Arabidopsis thaliana: one gene and its partner. The protein of the gene in region 2 interacts with the protein of the main gene of each other region in a biochemical or structural test. Each region holds a gene or a part of one and is shown on either strand. Other genes may lie near its edges. The genes, in order: FIP1 and nPAP.

Region 1 (7,725 bases), on a different chromosome or scaffold from region 2:
TTCATTAGCGTGAATGCAAAAAAACAAGACCTGTAGCGTGAATGTATCGCTCGAACAACGGCTTCTGAGACCCTGCAAAGAGTCAAAACTTCCAAGTAATGAATGCATATTTCCTATAGTCTGTAGATAAACACAAACATCAACTGGAAATTCCCTCATGCCCCTAATGTTAGCTACCACGGAGACCTCGAGATTACATTTCGATTCTTTAAAATCAACTCTTGAGTTACCTTTAATAGTGCCCAATACTTTGATACCCCTTCCTGATAAACCCTAAAACCCCATTTCAGCTAAAATTATCACTACATTAGAAATTCTAATAAACCCCAAAAAACTTGACATTGTCGTTGGTCTGTTGCATATACACCTAAATCAGCTCAGAGAAGGCGATAAACCTCGAAGAGCATATGAATGTCAGTTTTTGATTCCTTTTTGAAACAAGCAAAAATTGACGAAATCAATAACCCTAGTTTAACAACTTTTATACATTACCTTGACGCAATCCGATCGCGGAATCAAAAGTTCTTCGAGCTTGTACATGCCGCAGAACCTACGATATAAACATAAATTACAAAATGATTTCAGCTCTCTCGAGGACTCAATTTCAAAATTGAAAGGAAGAAGAAGAAAACGATGAAGCTAAATCTAGAGAGGGATGAAGAAAACAAACCCAGTTGAATCTTCGCATGACTCTTGTGAATTCAAAGCTAAACAGAGAGGAAAAAACGGAGAGGTTTTTGATTTTGAGAGTTAAACCCTTAGACCATTTCCATGATAAATTCCAAACAAACATAAATCAAAAATATTAAAATAATAATTTTTTAATCAGTTTTTTTTAGAATATTTTCTGAAATGAGAAACTTGGAGAAATTTTATCTCTCTTCCAAATGTCATCTTGTCATTAATTTCTTTTCTTTGTTATAAATAAAATCATTTATATTTTATAACATCAATTAAATACTTTATATGTTTATTTTTTTTTTTTTTTTTACTTTTAAAATTCATAAAATTAAATTATCTATATAACAAGCTCTATTATATATATGTTTAAATTATATACGAATATTATTTAATTGGTGTTAGTTAAGCATTAAACATAATAATAACTTATAAATACAATAGTTTTTTTTTAATTAGAAAACAAACATTTAAAATTTTCTATTTTTATTTTACAACATTTTTGGCAATCGAATTCGACTTCGTGATAGAGATATGCACCAACAACTAAAAGATGACCTAGTTGAGCATATATGACAAAAGTTTGGTGCATTATCAAATGAAGAGTAAAACCATAATAGATAATATAGTTAGTTTTGATTTATGTTATCATGGTTTTATATGTAATTTCTGTGTAATTTATATATTTTTTCTATTTAATTTATGTTATCATGGTTTTATATGGAATTTTATGTTTAATTGATATATTTTTTATTATGATTTTATATGTAAAGTAATGTTTAATTATGTTTAATTATGTTTAATTATGGTTTTAAAAATAATAAAACTATTTAATAATATAATTGTAAAAATAATAATTGATATGTTTGAAAATATTGTAGAGATTTTAAATTTAATATAAAAAACATATAATAATATGTTAATGTTAATGAGATACTCATAAGAGTATTTCACCAATGGAAGCACAATTTTAGTATAAGTTTCTCTACTTAAATTAAAATATTAATAATATATTATGAGGTACTCATGGAGTATCTCACCAATGGAGATGCTCTTACGCATATGCTGACGAGAGACGAGAGAAGAGACGTTCGCTAAATCTTTTGCTTTCTCGCCACTACGTCCAGAGTCTCTCTCTGGTTCAGAAGACTCGAAATGGGTTAAACACGTATTCTCTCATTCTCCGTAGTTAATTAATTTAGTGAAACGGTAAAAACAAAATGGTAAAAAATTGGCGGTCGTTATTTTGTAGCGGTAAAGAAAATAGTGAGTTAGACTATTTACAAGTTAACTGTTTGAATTAAAAGTTGAAAGTGATTTGGAAAAAGATGTTGTAGAATTTCTTCAACACCGTTAATTTTGTGAATAAAATCCTTGTACACATATAGTCTTAGAAAATTTGGAAAAAGGTTTGATAAATGTAACTTAGATGCTGCTTGGATTATAAAAAGTAAGCTTTATGGATACGGACTTGAGTTCCCAAGATCATTTAGGTTCAATCTGATTTTGAGGTTTATATAAGAAGCTTCATTTAAACCGTTGAGTGTTTGAGCTATATGAAACTTCAAAAAAATGTCATTCGTTTAAATACCATCAAGAAGAATGTGAATCAACTTTTCTTTTTGGATGAAAACTAGTTTTTTGATATGGTAACTATGTTTTCAACACAACAAAATTTTATCGTCGAATGTCCGAAATGATAAAGACACTCTTAACCTTCATCGGAAAAAATAGCAATTTTTTGTGGTATATCAATAGCGGTTACAATCTAACTTGTTTTGTTGTTGTTATTATGATTAGAACTGTCAATTGGGTGGACCGCATGTGGGTTTTTACAGTCCAAATACACACGGACGGATTATGGTCTGGACTCCAAACTAAAAAACATAAACCAAGCAATCAAAAAGTTAGAATAAGATATTTTTTAGTTAAAACAAAAATCGTAAGTGAAGAAGGTCTGAATTTCTTGAGGAAGATAAACGGGCACAAAACCGGTGTACATACATGGATTATGGATATGTTCTAGAGGAAAGGTATAATTGAATACTAGTATCCGTTACAGAAACTAATTGCATTAAGTTTCGTCTACTGTTTAAGACCGCACGAGATATATATGTTAGACCGACTTTGGGAAAGAGGCTACTTAAATTATTTACGATTAATAATGCCAACGTAACGCGGACAGACATTTTAATTCAATTATTATTTGTTGCCTGCGAGATTCGAACCATCTCTTATTTCATTACTTAACCCAAACCAAAAAAATAAAAAGTTCATTTCGAAAGAAGAAGAAGAAAACATCAAATCATGAGTGGGCAAGAGAATCATGATCATGGCCGGATCTCTTCTACGCCCGCCGCCGCGTCGGAGCCTTCCAAGGCTGCTGCTCACTCCTCTGACTACGCTCCTTACCCTAAGCTCGATCCTACCGACGTCACTCCTCCTCCTCCTCAGCCTATTCCCACCGGTGCCGCCGCAACCACCATGCCAGCGGAATCCAATCCTTACGTTTCTCCTTCCCCTGCCCCAAGGAGTGAGTTCTTCTTCTCTCTATCCGATTTCGCATCCTAATCCAATTTCTGCCTTTGATTGATTGATTGATCTTGGTTTGGGGACAGATACGATGGATTCGGTGAAGGATACGTTAGGGAAATGGGGGAAAATGGCTGCCGACGCCACCAAGAAGGCGGAGGATCTCGCCGGAAATTTTTGGCAGCACTGTAAGCGCTTCTTCTTCTTCTTCTTCTTCCCCCTCGATTAGATGAATTACCAATTAATCTGATTACCGTCTCTTGGAGAATACGATGGTATTGGTTATGCCCCTTCTGGTTAAGTTAGTGTTCATCAATTGGCGCTTCTTCGGAATTTTACTTCGCGTTCAACCACCGACACTAAATCTAGCCAACAATTTTGATATTCATGCTCTTCCGTTTGAGTTTAAGCCAATTAGTTCTTTGTATCTGGTTATTGCCTTTGACTCTTGAAGCTTCTCTAGTATAGGTTGTTTTGGCTTTATTTCTCCGCTTGTGTGATGAATTAGTATTATATACATATGGTTGGAGGGAGGGATGATATTTTATATGAATTGAGACTTGAGAGTATACGTTTTGATATCTATCCTTTCTTTTTCAGTGAAAACAGGCCCAAGTGTAGCAGATGCTGCTGTTTCACGAATTGCTCAGGGGACAAAAATACTTGCAGAGGGTGGATACGAGAAGGTCTTCAAGCAAACATTTGATTGCCTTCCTGATGAAAAACTTCTCAAGACCTATGCTTGCTACTTGTCTACATCTGCTGGTCCTGTCCTGGGAGTTATGTATCTTTCGACTCACAAGCTTGCGTTCTCTAGTGACAATCCTCTCTCTTACAAAGAGGGTGAGCAGACCCTGTGGAGCTATTACAAGGTATACTCGCTCTCTATCCTATGGTTACTTTTTCTTTCTAACTCTTTTATTTTATATCTATTTACATCTAAGAAAACTATTTGAGAACAAAGATTCAGCGAATGTAATATTTGATGGTGACATGATAAAGCGTTAAGTGAGTTAAGTCATTTTCAATGCATCTATTTACATAGATTCATAGACTATAACAAATTTTCTTGTCATTTCTAGTTATTGACGTATAGAACGTAGTGTGTGTACGCTTATAGTAAATGGAAACTACATAATCATTCTAACGATATTGTTGAGTAGTTGCATGTTAGTTCCTATGTAGACAATTAGGACTTTAGTGGTTTGCCTAAGAGAGTAAGCTAAATCTTGTAGCATTCTTGATAAAACTAGGGGAGCCATTGAATAATTGTTAGTTTGAGAGTTTGGACTGGTTCTAATGTAAACATCTAACATGAGCTGAAATCCTATTAAACCAAGCAGAAAGCTTCTTGACAACATGATCTTTGGAAAACTGATTTTAAGATTTGGGTGGTTCTTGAGAACCTTTTTTCGTTCCTTGAGAACCTTGCACTTGCAGTCTATTTTCTGTCATTCTTCCTTGTAAAGTCTGTGGCTGATGATTTTGATGTGATGATCAGGTGGTACTTCCGGCGAATCAGCTGAAGGCAGTGAACCCATCAACAAGTAGAGTGAACACATCTGATAAATACATACAAGTGATTTCCATCGACAACCACGAGTTCTGGTTTATGGGGTTTGTGACTTATGAAAGCGCTGTGAAGAGCCTTCAAGAAGCGGTGCAGTCACATGGTCCGTGAAGGTCCACTGGTATAAATGGCAGCTCTTAGTGATATTGTGCATTAATATATGGAACAGTGTGTTTTAGTATTTGATACCATTTCAATGTGTTCTACATTTTGTCCTCTTGGCGTTTACTCATAAACATTGCTTTTGTTCATTTCCTTTTGTATAAAATTATTTCTTATTTTTTTTGAGGGAACCTTGTCCTTTAGATCTAACATTCATGATTTGTATTCGTGTTCTAAGTTGGATTCGGTCTTTGGTTTTTGATGAGTTTAGGATTTTAAAGGTGATCAAGTTGGGCGCTATAGACAAAACCAGCATTTAGAAAGCCCAATATATCACCGATGGGCCTTTGAAAAGAGCCCAAATCGATAATAAGCATGCATGGGAGAATTGGTGACACGGGCTCATTACAACACTTTCATCATAGAAGATCCTATGTTTAATGTGTTTAAAACAAATCTGGTATGAGTTTTGGAAGATAGTAACATTGAGTATATATGTGGAAACAAATCTAAATGGTGGGGTTTGTGCAATCGCCTAAATTGTTTTTTACTTGCATTCGTTATATGCAAATATCTAAATGATTAAAACCAAAACCAAAAATATCTAATATGATATATTAAAATATTAAGCTTCATTGTATCATTCTTACGAAGTGACCAACTTTAGAAGTTAGCGAATTGTCTGTCATTAAGCCTATTGCTCCTTGTCGTCTTATTCTTTGCTCACCAACGAGCTACGTCCTTTGAATTTCTTATTAAAGTTGTTAGCATATAAACTATGACTAGTGCCCATCAAATTTGAAGATTTAGCATTTGGACTCTTCTTGTGTTAACTGAACATGGTCAGTCTTACAATATCTATATATTCAATGGTTATCGAGTGATTGTGTCATGAAATGTTAATATAGTTGGATCTTTTAAAAAAAAATGTAAATATAGTTGAACCATATACATCCGTTGAAAACAACAACAGCAAAAACTGATAGCTCTGAACCATCTTTGTAAGAGTGTGTTTGCGACTACGGGAGTCTTGATATCAAACCGAAACCACCCTATATATGAAAAAGCTTCATAAAACCGATTTCTCGATTACTTTAATAAGATGGCATATCGGGTGTTAAATGTGTTTGTGCTACACAAAACAAAGATAATGCGAAGTTTCACACACAAAACCAAAGCCGTAAACGCACAGAAGAAGCTACTTCTCGTGAGCATGAGTTCTCTTCAGACGTTTTACCTCCCCACAATCCATAAGCTACATAAAACCGATCTCCGGTTTCCAGATTAATTTACCATTAGTATTTTACAAAAGTTTGTAAGTAAAAGAAAAATAAGGCAATCATGCAAAATCGAAAAAAAAAAAAGATGGCGAAAAGGAAAAGAAAGTAAGGCGGGAGTGGCAATTCAAAACCAAAATAAAGTAATGAAGAAGCGAGTCAAAGTAAGGCAACATAATTACGTACACTATTTGATGAGTCAAACCTACATCTTTCTATGACCAAATTTGAGAGGTGGCTACTTCTCTTAGGCTTTGCAACTTGAAAAATATGTTCCGCATCTAATCTAATAATAGGATGTTGTCATGTTCATATGTTTCGTTGAAAAATATTAATTCTAATTAAAACTCGTGTTAACATCAGGATTGGATTTTTATGTTCATAGTGATAATTAAATATCTCCAAGATTAGTGTAACAACAACAAAAAAAAGAATAATACTTATATCATAATCTCAGGATGATCATGATTGCTCAACTAAGTAGGGATTGGGTCAATCACTGGTTAAAAGAGAAGAAAAAGGTGAAATGATTATTCTAGAGTTTTCATTAAAGTTGAAATACCTTAAAACCAAGATTGAAATGTCTAAAAAGAACACTCGATACTTCCTTTTAATTCCACCGGTCTAAGTCTTCTTTCATTTTATATATTTGTATAACCTAATGCCGTCACGCACGTTAAACATAGTCAAATTCTTTATTCATATATTATTATTTTAATCGCTTCTTAATCACAGTTAACATACTTGGACCAAACCTAGTCCATATATCCAACTTTTAAAGCATGGATGTCCGATAACATAGTTGAAACATATACATATAAGGTGTGCATAAAAATATAAATAATATGTATGCATGAAAAAAAAGAAAAATACAAAACATTACTAAACGAATGGAATAAAAAAAATCTGTATATTAATAGATGAGTATACTTATTAGTAAAAATTTATTTTAAAGTAAATTGAAATTAGCCAAAAAGATAAAGTGAAAAAGATGTAAAAAATTGAATTTTTCTTGAAAGCCAAAAATTATTTGTTTGGGCCCCTATTTGTTTACCAAATAAAATGAAATGAAGGAGAACTCATATATTTGAATATGAAAATTGAAAACAAACACATTTTTAAAGGGAGATAAATTCTTTTGTATGTAAAATACTCTCAGTGTATATATATACAAACCAAAACTTCATTTCATTTGTTCACACTGAAACTCCAAAACTCTATCTCTCTCTCTCCTCCACACACCAATTTCTTCATGACCTTCTTCTTCTAGCAGAGAAGATTAAAGAAACCCCCAAATCCAGCTTATACTAAATGGGTCATGATAACATCACAAAGCTCGGGAGTCTACTCGTAAAGCTACACAAAGGTCCTTCAAGTTGGCTTTGTCTTCATCCTCGACCAGACCGAACCAGCAACGGCGGACGAATCAAGCTCGTCAGATCCGACGGTTCTTTACAAGTCTACGATCGTCCCGTAGTAGTCTCAGAGCTAACAAAAGACTTCCCAAAACACAAAATCTGTAGATCAGACTTACTCTACATCGGACAGAAAACCCCTGTTCTGTCT
Region 2 (9,488 bases):
TACCTGATTTATTTCACGATCTTGTATGTTGTCGACAATCTTTGATGTATCATGTCCCCCTCGGGAGGTTCCTAGTATGGTTCCCCCGCGCTTGTGGATGTCACTCACAGTCTTCGGCGTTAGTGCAACAGTGTTTTTAGAATAGAACCCGCGAAACCCGCACTGCGATATCAGAAACCAGATGAGTCAAAACAAATCCTACTCAATCAATAATGGCTAACATAGTATTTGCTTTCCATTGTAATTTGCTATTAAAACTGACATTGCTCTATTATGCTCTACTACAATATGCAATAGCAGCTATAGAACAAAGCATTCAGTCTACAAGTTGGGATACAATGAGATCATCATCCCTAGAAAATACAGTCTAAAAGCATAAATCGTAGGTACAAAAATTGAACTCACATCCACACCAATCACTTCTGTAACACCATACATAAAATGAAGACCACACACGATCTCCCTGATAACTGTATTAAGCCCGGGGCATAGGCCACCACAAGTGACAATACAGGCACGCACATCAGATGGCTTGAAGTACACCTAAACACAATATATAATCATATATCAGCAGTTTTTACATCATCAAATACAGAAGCTGCAGAGCAAAGGAAACTCATGGAGTAGATGAAGTACCTTTTGGCGCGGGCCTGCACGTCTAAAATGTGTCCCTCTAGGAGAATCCTTGTGAACAACAATCTATACATCACACGAAAGGGAAAATGAGCAATGTGCTAAACATATCACATGATCACTTACGAAGAGAACAAATGTAAGAAAGGAAAGCGTCAGTGAGTTTCACCTTTTCCTGGACTGTATCATCCTCATCAACAAAATACTGCCTGAAAATCACACAGAATATGAACCCTATTAACTAACCGTCATCTTTCAATCAATCAAGTTCATAAGTACAACATCAACTTACCTTACTACTGAATAAGCAGCATTTGATTGCAACGGGTTTGGATAAGTCTGTTAGAGAAGGTATCAGCAAAAGTGAATAAAGTATAAAATGAAACGAAGCTATAGCATGATTTGAAATATGAACCAAAAAGCTTTTTTTTTTCTCCATGGCAAGACTAATTTACAATCCAATTCTTCCATTACTCTACATGTATAAGAACCTCATTACATTAGCATCAAATTTAGAAAATAGTAAGTGATTAATAGATCTAATCAAACATTCGGTGACGAGTAAGCATATGTGCACCAATCAATTTCCACGTTGACATTGATTTAACATTTCACATTTGTATGCACTAATACGAATATAAATATTTATGTAATTCTCTCCCTGATAGAGACCAGGATCTCATCAACAGTCCGAATCAACATATAGGCTAAAAATAGGCGAAACCAATTATACAAACACAACTTTTGCATTTGCTATACACGAACCACCAAATCGGCAACAATATCAAATTCGTAAATCGTATAACCACCGATCCATGAAAATGTCGATTTCAAAGAATAATCGATGGAATCGTATAGAGATAGAGAGAGGAAGTAGTACGGGGAGATCGAGAATGTAATCGCTCAAATGAGGAACATCTTCGAGTACATAACCAGCAGGTCCTTCCACCAACTTAATCTGCTCGTCCACGCCATTAGAAGCCATCGAAGAAAACCTTATTCTTCTGAGTGTTTTTCTCTCCGGTGACGTAAAGCGACTGTGAATTTGAAGCGTATGTATGTATGTGAGTTTTAATTCTCAGAGCTCAGAGTGGTATAGAAGTAAGGAACGAGAAAGCGACGTCGTTTTGGCTCACCGTTACTTTATGATATACGGACATTACCGAAATACCAGCGTAAACGGCGGCTGGTTTTTCCTTTTGTCAATTTCCGGTTTTCAGATAATTGATTCGTGGATAAATGCAGAAGTATGGATAAAATCTCATTAATTATCTTTATTATACCTTTAAAGAAAATGACAAAAATTAAACGATAAGAATATCTTAATATTTACGAAATATATTCTTAGTAATTTCTCTATTTGGTGTCAAAAATATATAGGCAATTTTTCTATTCTTTAATTTCTTAAGATTTTTTTTTTTTAAAATCATTTTTTCTTAGTATATGGTATTGTTCATGACAAAGAGAGAAATATCATATCCTGTTGAGAAATAGCATTTATAAAAACTGATTTGTTTTGTAAAAATAATAATGTCAAGCTAATGTATAGATCGAATAGTTATTTTAGCTTAAAAATCAAATTTCTGAGAGGAGAAAATTTATCTTACAAATCTTTATAACGCTTAAGTATAAAAAAAAGATCTTAATACACAATTGTCCGAAAAAATCATTTTTAAACTATCAAATTATCGGTTTAAACTTTTTATTTGATTAACAAATCAATCTAAACTTTACAAATCTTCATGAATCAATTTAGGATTTAAATATCAAACAAGTGGATTCTAAAATAATAAAGTTTCCTCTCCAATTAGGAGTATAATGAATTACATATTTGGAAAGAAAAGATTCGAGTATTAATAAATTTTAGATGAATTTGATAAGTTTTAGACAGTTAGGAAAGTTGTTACTATTTGTTATTAAAAATATTTGCAATCTCCCTCACTAAAAAAAAATAATATTTGCAATCTCACAAAACCATGAGAATTGGGTCTTTGTAATTTTTAATCAAGGAAATCCATTATTACATCACTAATTGAAATTCATGTTTGTATATACAGCCTAAACTTTTGTATATACAGCCTAAACTTTTGTATCTTTTATTTAAAAACACTTTAATATGTTAAAATCCAATATAGTATCAAAATTATATCAAAATCTAATAAACAACACACCAGTTTTCAACTTTATCAATTAAAATTAACAGATGGTGATTTTAAATCAGTTGGTTTCCATCGACACATGATTTCTAGTTACCAATAATCCCACTAACCCCATTAAAATCTTTAAATTAAAAATCTGAACAAAATTATCTAATTTAGATTTGTTTTCAAAATGATTACAATGTTTTCTTGTTTTGAACGGAGACTTATCGGCTCCCTCCGTAAAATAATCATACACATTAATCCACTAATCAAAATTTAATTATAAAATCGAATCGCCGTGTACCTAATATCTTCCCCAACCTTTGCTCTCTCTCTCTCTCCATCTCCCTCATACCTCCTTCTTCTTCTTGATCCATCATCTCTCTCTCTTTCTCTCTTCTCTCTGTTCCTAGTCCATCGATTTAACCTCTTTCAGATTCTCCTTCTTCTTTGACTTTTTTTGACACCGTAGTCTCTTTCCCCTTCCATCGATTTAGGGTTTCCGATTTTCAAAATCTCCTTTTTATTTGTTTCCTCTCCTTGTGCAATTCCCGTCTCGAATCCATCTTGACCTGGGGGTCTGATCCGATCTCCCTCTAATCATATCGTGAAGCGAGATTATGTTTTTGTGCTGCGCTTCTGCTTTGATCGCTTAGGATTATCAATCGTGTTATGATGGTGGGTACTCAAAATTTAGGTGGTTCGTTGCCGCCGCTGAATTCTCCTAAAAGCTATGGAATTACGAAGCCGCTCTCTCTTGCTGGGCCTTCTTCGGCGGATATTAAGCGTAATGTGGAGCTGGAGAAGGTAAAGCTTTGTTTTTTTGTTTATACAAAAATTGTTCCACTGTTTAAAGGATTCGTTGATTTGGCTTATCTGATGTGTATTTTCTTATATGCTCAAGTACTTGGTTGATGAGGGACTCTACGAGAGCAAGGATGATACCATGCGGCGAGAGGAAGTTCTAGGACGCATCGATCAGGTGACTCAGCGTGTCTCGTTGATTGTTTGTTCTGTATATTTACAAGTGTTATCTTTTGATGGTTGTGCTAATTGGGTGTCTGAATCGACAAGAATAAAATTATTGTGTTTATAATGGTCTTTTAGGTTTCATTGTATTGGTTCTTACTCGTGTATGGTTGTTGATTTTGGGCTAAGCATAGATCATAGTTCAATATGAAATAGACTGGTCAGGCATATGTTCTTATGTCCATTGATTTACTTTGCTGTTTTTAAGTTTCTTCACATGCTGTTCATTGTGCTATTTGTCTGAAACTATCAATCTTATCTCCCACCTTTTTTTTTTAGATTGTAAAGCACTGGGTGAAACAGTTAACGCAGCAAAGAGGATATACTGATCAGATGGTGGAAGATGCAAATGCTGTCATTTTCACCTTTGGATCCTACCGACTTGGCGTAAGTGCTACTTGTTTACCGCTTCCTTGCTTTTATCTTGAAGCTAAAATGCGTATAATATGTTTTTTGCTATATGTTTGTGGATTACTCGAGAGATCGCTCTGTTTTTGTCTATGCAAATGCAATCTTAGTCTCTGAGGCTGAACCGACTTCAATTTTGTTCACTTTGCAGGTGCATGGTCCTGGGGCTGACATTGATACTTTGTGTGTTGGGCCATCTTATGTTAACCGGGAGGTGACTCTTGCTACCACTTATTGATGCAGAAGTTTGATTCTTTAGTTCTTAACACTTACTCTTTACAGGAGGATTTCTTCATCATCTTGCATGATATATTGGCTGAGATGGAAGAAGTGACTGAGCTCCATCCTGTTCCCGATGCCCATGTTCCGGTCATGAAATTTAAGTTTCAAGGAATACCGATTGATCTGCTCTATGCTAGCATATCACTTTTAGTTGTGCCACAGGTAATTTTCTGTGAATTTATTGTATCTTTCTTTGTTTTTGCTGAAGCTGTAGGGTCTGATAAATTTATATTAGCTTGTATATATTATGCTATATGTTGTGCTTGTTTGCATGTTGATGGAGACAGATAGTGTATTACTCATCCTCAATGGCTTATATAGTAAACAAATTTATTTTAGTAGTTTCTGGCTTGAGAGAGAGATCTGAAAAGTTTGCTGGCTATTTTGGTGCATCGGTTTTGATTTTTATATGAAAACTGAGCCCGTGAGCTGTCATGGTAGATTACAATCTCTTGCTGAATCAAATTTCTTGTTTTCATGGATTTGGTTTATCGACAGGATCTGGATATCTCCAGCTCTTCTGTGCTGTGTGAAGTTGATGAGCCAACCGTTCGAAGTCTTAATGGTTGTAGAGTTGCTGATCAGATTCTTAAACTCGTTCCAAATTTTGAGGTAAACTCACAGAATGCCAGTCATTATGTTAACATATGAATGAACTATGGTTACCTTCTCTTATCTTATGTGCAATTGTAGCACTTCCGGACAACCTTAAGATGCCTGAAGTACTGGGCTAAGAAGCGTGGGGTGTATTCAAATGTAAGATCATAGCTTTCTGAAATTCGTATTTATTGAAAACTTTCATGTCTAAGCTCTTGTCATATTTCTCATATTGGGCAGGTGACTGGATTTCTTGGCGGTGTAAACTGGGCACTTTTGGTTGCTCGTGTCTGCCAGCTTTATCCAAATGCAATTCCTAGTATGCTGGTTTCTCGTTTTTTTAGAGTATATACTCAATGGCGGTGGCCGAACCCAGTCATGCTTTGTGCAATAGAAGAGGATGAGCTTGGATTTCCTGTCTGGGACCGTCGTAAGAATCATCGCGACCGCTATCACCTTATGCCAATAATAACTCCAGCTTACCCATGCATGAATTCTAGTTACAATGTCTCTCAAAGCACTCTTCGCGTTATGACAGAGCAGTTCCAGTTTGGTAACAATATCTTGCAGGTAAGTGAGCAAAACTTTTGACTTGTTATCTCAACTATTTATTCAGGATCCTATACTTATGCATGATTTTTAATGCAGGAGATTGAATTAAATAAACAGCACTGGAGCTCTTTATTTGAACAATATATGTTTTTCGAGGCATACAAAAACTACCTTCAGGTTGATATAGTGGCAGCAGATGCAGAAGATTTATTGGCTTGGAAGGGTTGGGTGGAGTCGCGGTTCAGACAGCTGACCTTAAAGGTTGATAGCCTCCTCTTTTCATTTGATTTACAGTAATAAACCTGCTGTATATCAGTGTTTAATCATATTTGTTGTGGTAGAAAATATAAAATTATTAAATGTTTCTCGATTTTGTTTCTTTTCATTCAATAATGCAGATAGAAAGAGACACTAATGGGATGTTAATGTGCCATCCCCAACCAAATGAGTATGTAGACACGGCTAGGCAGTTTCTGCATTGTGCCTTTTTCATGGGCTTGCAGAGGGCAGAGGGAGTTGGGGGTCAAGAATGTCAACAGTTTGATATACGTGGTACTGTCGATGAGTTCAGACAAGAAGTAAACATGTATATGTTTTGGAAACCTGGGATGGATGTTTTCGTTTCTCATGTTCGTAGACGACAGCTTCCACCTTTTGTTTTCCCTAATGGATATCGAAGGCCTCGGCAGTCCAGGCACCAAAATCTACCGGGTGGAAAATCTGGTGAAGATGGCAGTGTTTCTCATTCCGGCTCTGTGGTGGAGAGGCATGCCAAGCGAAAGAACGATAGTGAAATGATGGATGTGAGGCCAGAGAAACCTGAGAAGCGTGCATCTCTTAGTCCACAGAGTCTAGATATAGTTTCTCCTGAAAATAGTGCTATCACAACTGGTTGGACTCCTCCTGTTTGCAACCTTAGAAGGCCACCAAGCGAGGAAATAGAAGCTGATAATTTGAACACTGAGTGTACTGAACTCACAGACTTAGCTCGAAATGAGTGTAACTCTGGCAGCGAGCAAGTTCTTGAAGTAGATAGTATGGCTGTAGTTCAAGAATGCTCTGATCCTGCTGAGCCTTTGGGAAAGTGTGTAACACCTGACTCTGTTGATGTGGTAGCATGTGTAAGTGGGCAGGAAGAAAACTTAGATCGTAATTTGAGGTCTGTATCCATCAGTGGTACTGACTCCCCACTTCTTCCGAGCAGATCCTGTGGGCAGAACCGTGATTATGAGGTTAGTTTTTTTTTTCTTTTTGTATATGTTTGGGGGTTCTGGTGTGTTATCAGAAATTGGCAATAATTGTTTGAACATACCGGGCATAGTAATGATGAGTTTTTACAGGGTTTCGGGTTTCCTGCTGCAAATTCAGATCCTATGGGAAAGAAAAACTTGTACTCTCAAAGCGGCATGTCGGAAGACCTTCAGGTTATTAAGCTACCTCACAGTAGTTATCATAAGATTAGTTCTGTTGAAAATATTTAATAGCTGGTTTAAAAATGAATGTCCAATGATATGCGAGCATCAATTCTCCACACTACATGGAATCTCATACTGGTTTCATAGTGTCAAGAAACATAGGATGGAGCTAAGTTTGAAATTTGATGGTTGTCCATAAACAGTACTACTTAAGAGGTCAATGTTTCTGCTGTGTTATAACTTGCCTTGTGTGATTTCTGCTGCATACCGCCTAACTAGTGCATATATATGATTGGCAGGTCCTGCACTGCAAAGCAACTCCGCTTGAAACTTATTGAATTAGACTTTTCTCTCTTTGATTAAGTTTTGTAAGGAATAAAACTAACTTATGTTGTTGCTCGTAATCTTGTCTTGTCTTAGTCAAACTCTTTGGTGAGCGGGATGGAGAAGTCGGAAGACAGAGCTAGGTCAGAATCTTTCCAGAAGTCACAGATAAGGCATGTGTGTTATGCAAAGTCATGATTTCTTTATGTTATTCTTGTTGTGTATTTGGTTTCATTGGTGCTTTTATAGCACAAGCAGGTTAAGCTTAAAGTCCACTGTGTGAACGTCCTCTAGGCTATTGACGTGAAGAAAACGGGGGATTTCAACTCAAATTGTTGCGTTGGACAGACGACAGAGTCCAGAAGCTTTTGGTAAGTGAATTTTTAATATGGAAAAAAGAAAAAAGAAAAAAAAAAGTTAAAAAATGACATTTGAAAAATTCAAAAAAAAAAAAAAGAATTAAGTTAAAAAAAAAAAGGTAACCAAAAGAGAAAAGAAGGTATAGGCAGAGAAAGCATTGGTGGTGGTATTTTGAGTGAGCTTGGATGATGACCAAAGCTCAATATGCGTCATCAGGATCATAACTTGAAGATTGAAATGATTTATATAATGTCTGGATGATGAATGCTTTTTTTTTTTTATTATTCGGCTGTTTCAGACTCTGGTCCTCTTAGGGCTTTGACTTGAATCGTTTGTGTTTTTTTAATTTTATTTTGCGGTTTATGTATATAAGATCTATGCCTCCTTGTCTCTCGTTTTTGGAGTTATGCTGTCAAAACTAAGTGAGAGTAGTTGCAATGAAAGGCTTTAAAATAAAGGTTTCTGATCTATATCAAAGTCAAAACACTGTTTCTTTTTTTCTTATGATGTAATATGATGGAAAATCTATAGAGGAATTGGAATAATTGGTGGTTGAACCGGGAAAGACAGATTCTCAAATTTAAATGTGTCGGATCTGCTAGTTCCAAATACAAGTTCAAAGCGTCACTTAAAATATAGAGGACCATGAATAAGTACAAGAGCTCTGTATTTGAAAACATGAATGGTTGGAATTCCTACCGAGACCAAACACTTTTTGTGGAGATATGTCTTGTTTGGTTGAATTATCTTTAATACAGCATGCCAAAGGTTTGAAGAGTAAGATGAAACAGTAGCCCTTTCAATGTTTTCAATATATATTGACTGAGTCGAAAATATGGGATTTTAACTTCTCGGGGCCAACAGATAAGAAATTTCTCGGTAGTGACCGATAGCACTACTAATATCTACCTTTTTAAGCATGGAAACCTTTTCAACTATCAAGAAAAAAACAACTTTAAAATTTTGATAGCCTAGTGGTTTGTATGTATGAAATAGTGATATTTGATAGCCTGATGGTTTGTATTAATATCGTCATTCTGTCACCTCCGGCGTTGAAACTAGTATAATGCATGTCCACAAAAGAAAAATAGAACTGAGCTGAGGCAAAAAAGAAAGAAAAAAAAAAATAGAATTTTAGGAAAGCGTCATTCTGAGCAAAACAACTAAATGAAAATCTAATTTTTTCGTTGGATTTTCCCAACATTTAGGACTGCAAATACTCTTTACACAGACGTAAGGTAAGTAACTAAGAAACAAAAAAAATTCTAAACTCATTCTTAAATAATCGCATTAGCGTCTCTATTTTGTTTGATCTAGATTATTTTTCTCTTTCTGTCTTCTCTTTTATATACAAGGGATACTGATAAGACAAAATCTAGACTTTTTAAGTTCCAGGCCTCTAGATTTTTAGTGGGATTTGGTGGAGAAATGCTATAATTCGTCGTATTTGCCTACAAATTTGGAGAAAGTTTTACGGAAACTTTTGACTTGTTCGACTACCAACCTATAAGTTACAATTGGTCTTAGCAGATATATAGTATTCCATCTTTTCTGTATTTTCAATGCATCGAAGTATAATTTTTATGATAAGTAGTTTTTAACGATGGGATATATGTTTCAAACATCGTTAGGTAACAACATATATAGGCTTTCACAACATTTTGTCGTTTTATGTCTATGCATAAACAGCCGGAGAATATTATACGACAAACAAATATCATAACATACATACATATTTACATATATA

Evidence for each region.
Region 1: the proteins of nPAP (region 2) and FIP1 form a complex in vitro, tested with the Arabidopsis thaliana proteins (one study listed by BioGRID).

What each region holds. Positions count from the first base shown.
Region 1 is NC_003070.9:9,847,561-9,855,285, reverse strand, and holds FIP1 (FH interacting protein 1), read left to right. Parts: upstream 1-2,836; 5' UTR 2,837-2,985; coding exon 2,986-3,211; intron 3,212-3,296; coding exon 3,297-3,398; intron 3,399-3,810; coding exon 3,811-4,082; intron 4,083-4,711; coding exon 4,712-4,891; 3' UTR 4,892-4,901; exon of another isoform or gene 4,902-5,153; 3' UTR 5,154-5,442; downstream 5,443-7,725. Other genes in the region: ATJ1 (DNAJ heat shock family protein), read right to left, coding at 31-72, 493-550, 671-688; AT1G28190 (uncharacterized protein), read left to right, coding at 7,471-7,725.
Region 2 is NC_003075.7:15,846,688-15,856,175, forward strand, and holds nPAP (nuclear poly(a) polymerase), read left to right. Parts: upstream 1-3,084; 5' UTR 3,085-3,446; coding exon 3,447-3,581; intron 3,582-3,678; coding exon 3,679-3,756; intron 3,757-4,082; coding exon 4,083-4,190; intron 4,191-4,362; coding exon 4,363-4,425; intron 4,426-4,493; coding exon 4,494-4,655; intron 4,656-4,991; coding exon 4,992-5,105; intron 5,106-5,186; coding exon 5,187-5,249; intron 5,250-5,330; coding exon 5,331-5,660; intron 5,661-5,738; coding exon 5,739-5,903; intron 5,904-6,040; coding exon 6,041-6,874; intron 6,875-6,982; coding exon 6,983-7,066; coding exon of another isoform or gene 7,067-7,123; exon of another isoform or gene 7,124-7,204; coding exon of another isoform or gene 7,205-7,219; exon of another isoform or gene 7,220-7,477; coding exon 7,478-7,558; coding exon of another isoform or gene 7,559-7,579; exon of another isoform or gene 7,580-7,630; coding exon of another isoform or gene 7,631-7,664; exon of another isoform or gene 7,665-7,675; coding exon 7,676-7,756; 3' UTR 7,757-7,773; downstream 7,774-9,488. Other genes in the region: PFK6 (phosphofructokinase 6), read right to left, coding at 4-162, 406-543, 637-699, 803-842, 926-972, 1,514-1,618. UniProt on the Arabidopsis thaliana protein: Essential protein. Polymerase that creates the 3'-poly(A) tail of mRNA's. Also required for the endoribonucleolytic cleavage reaction at some polyadenylation sites.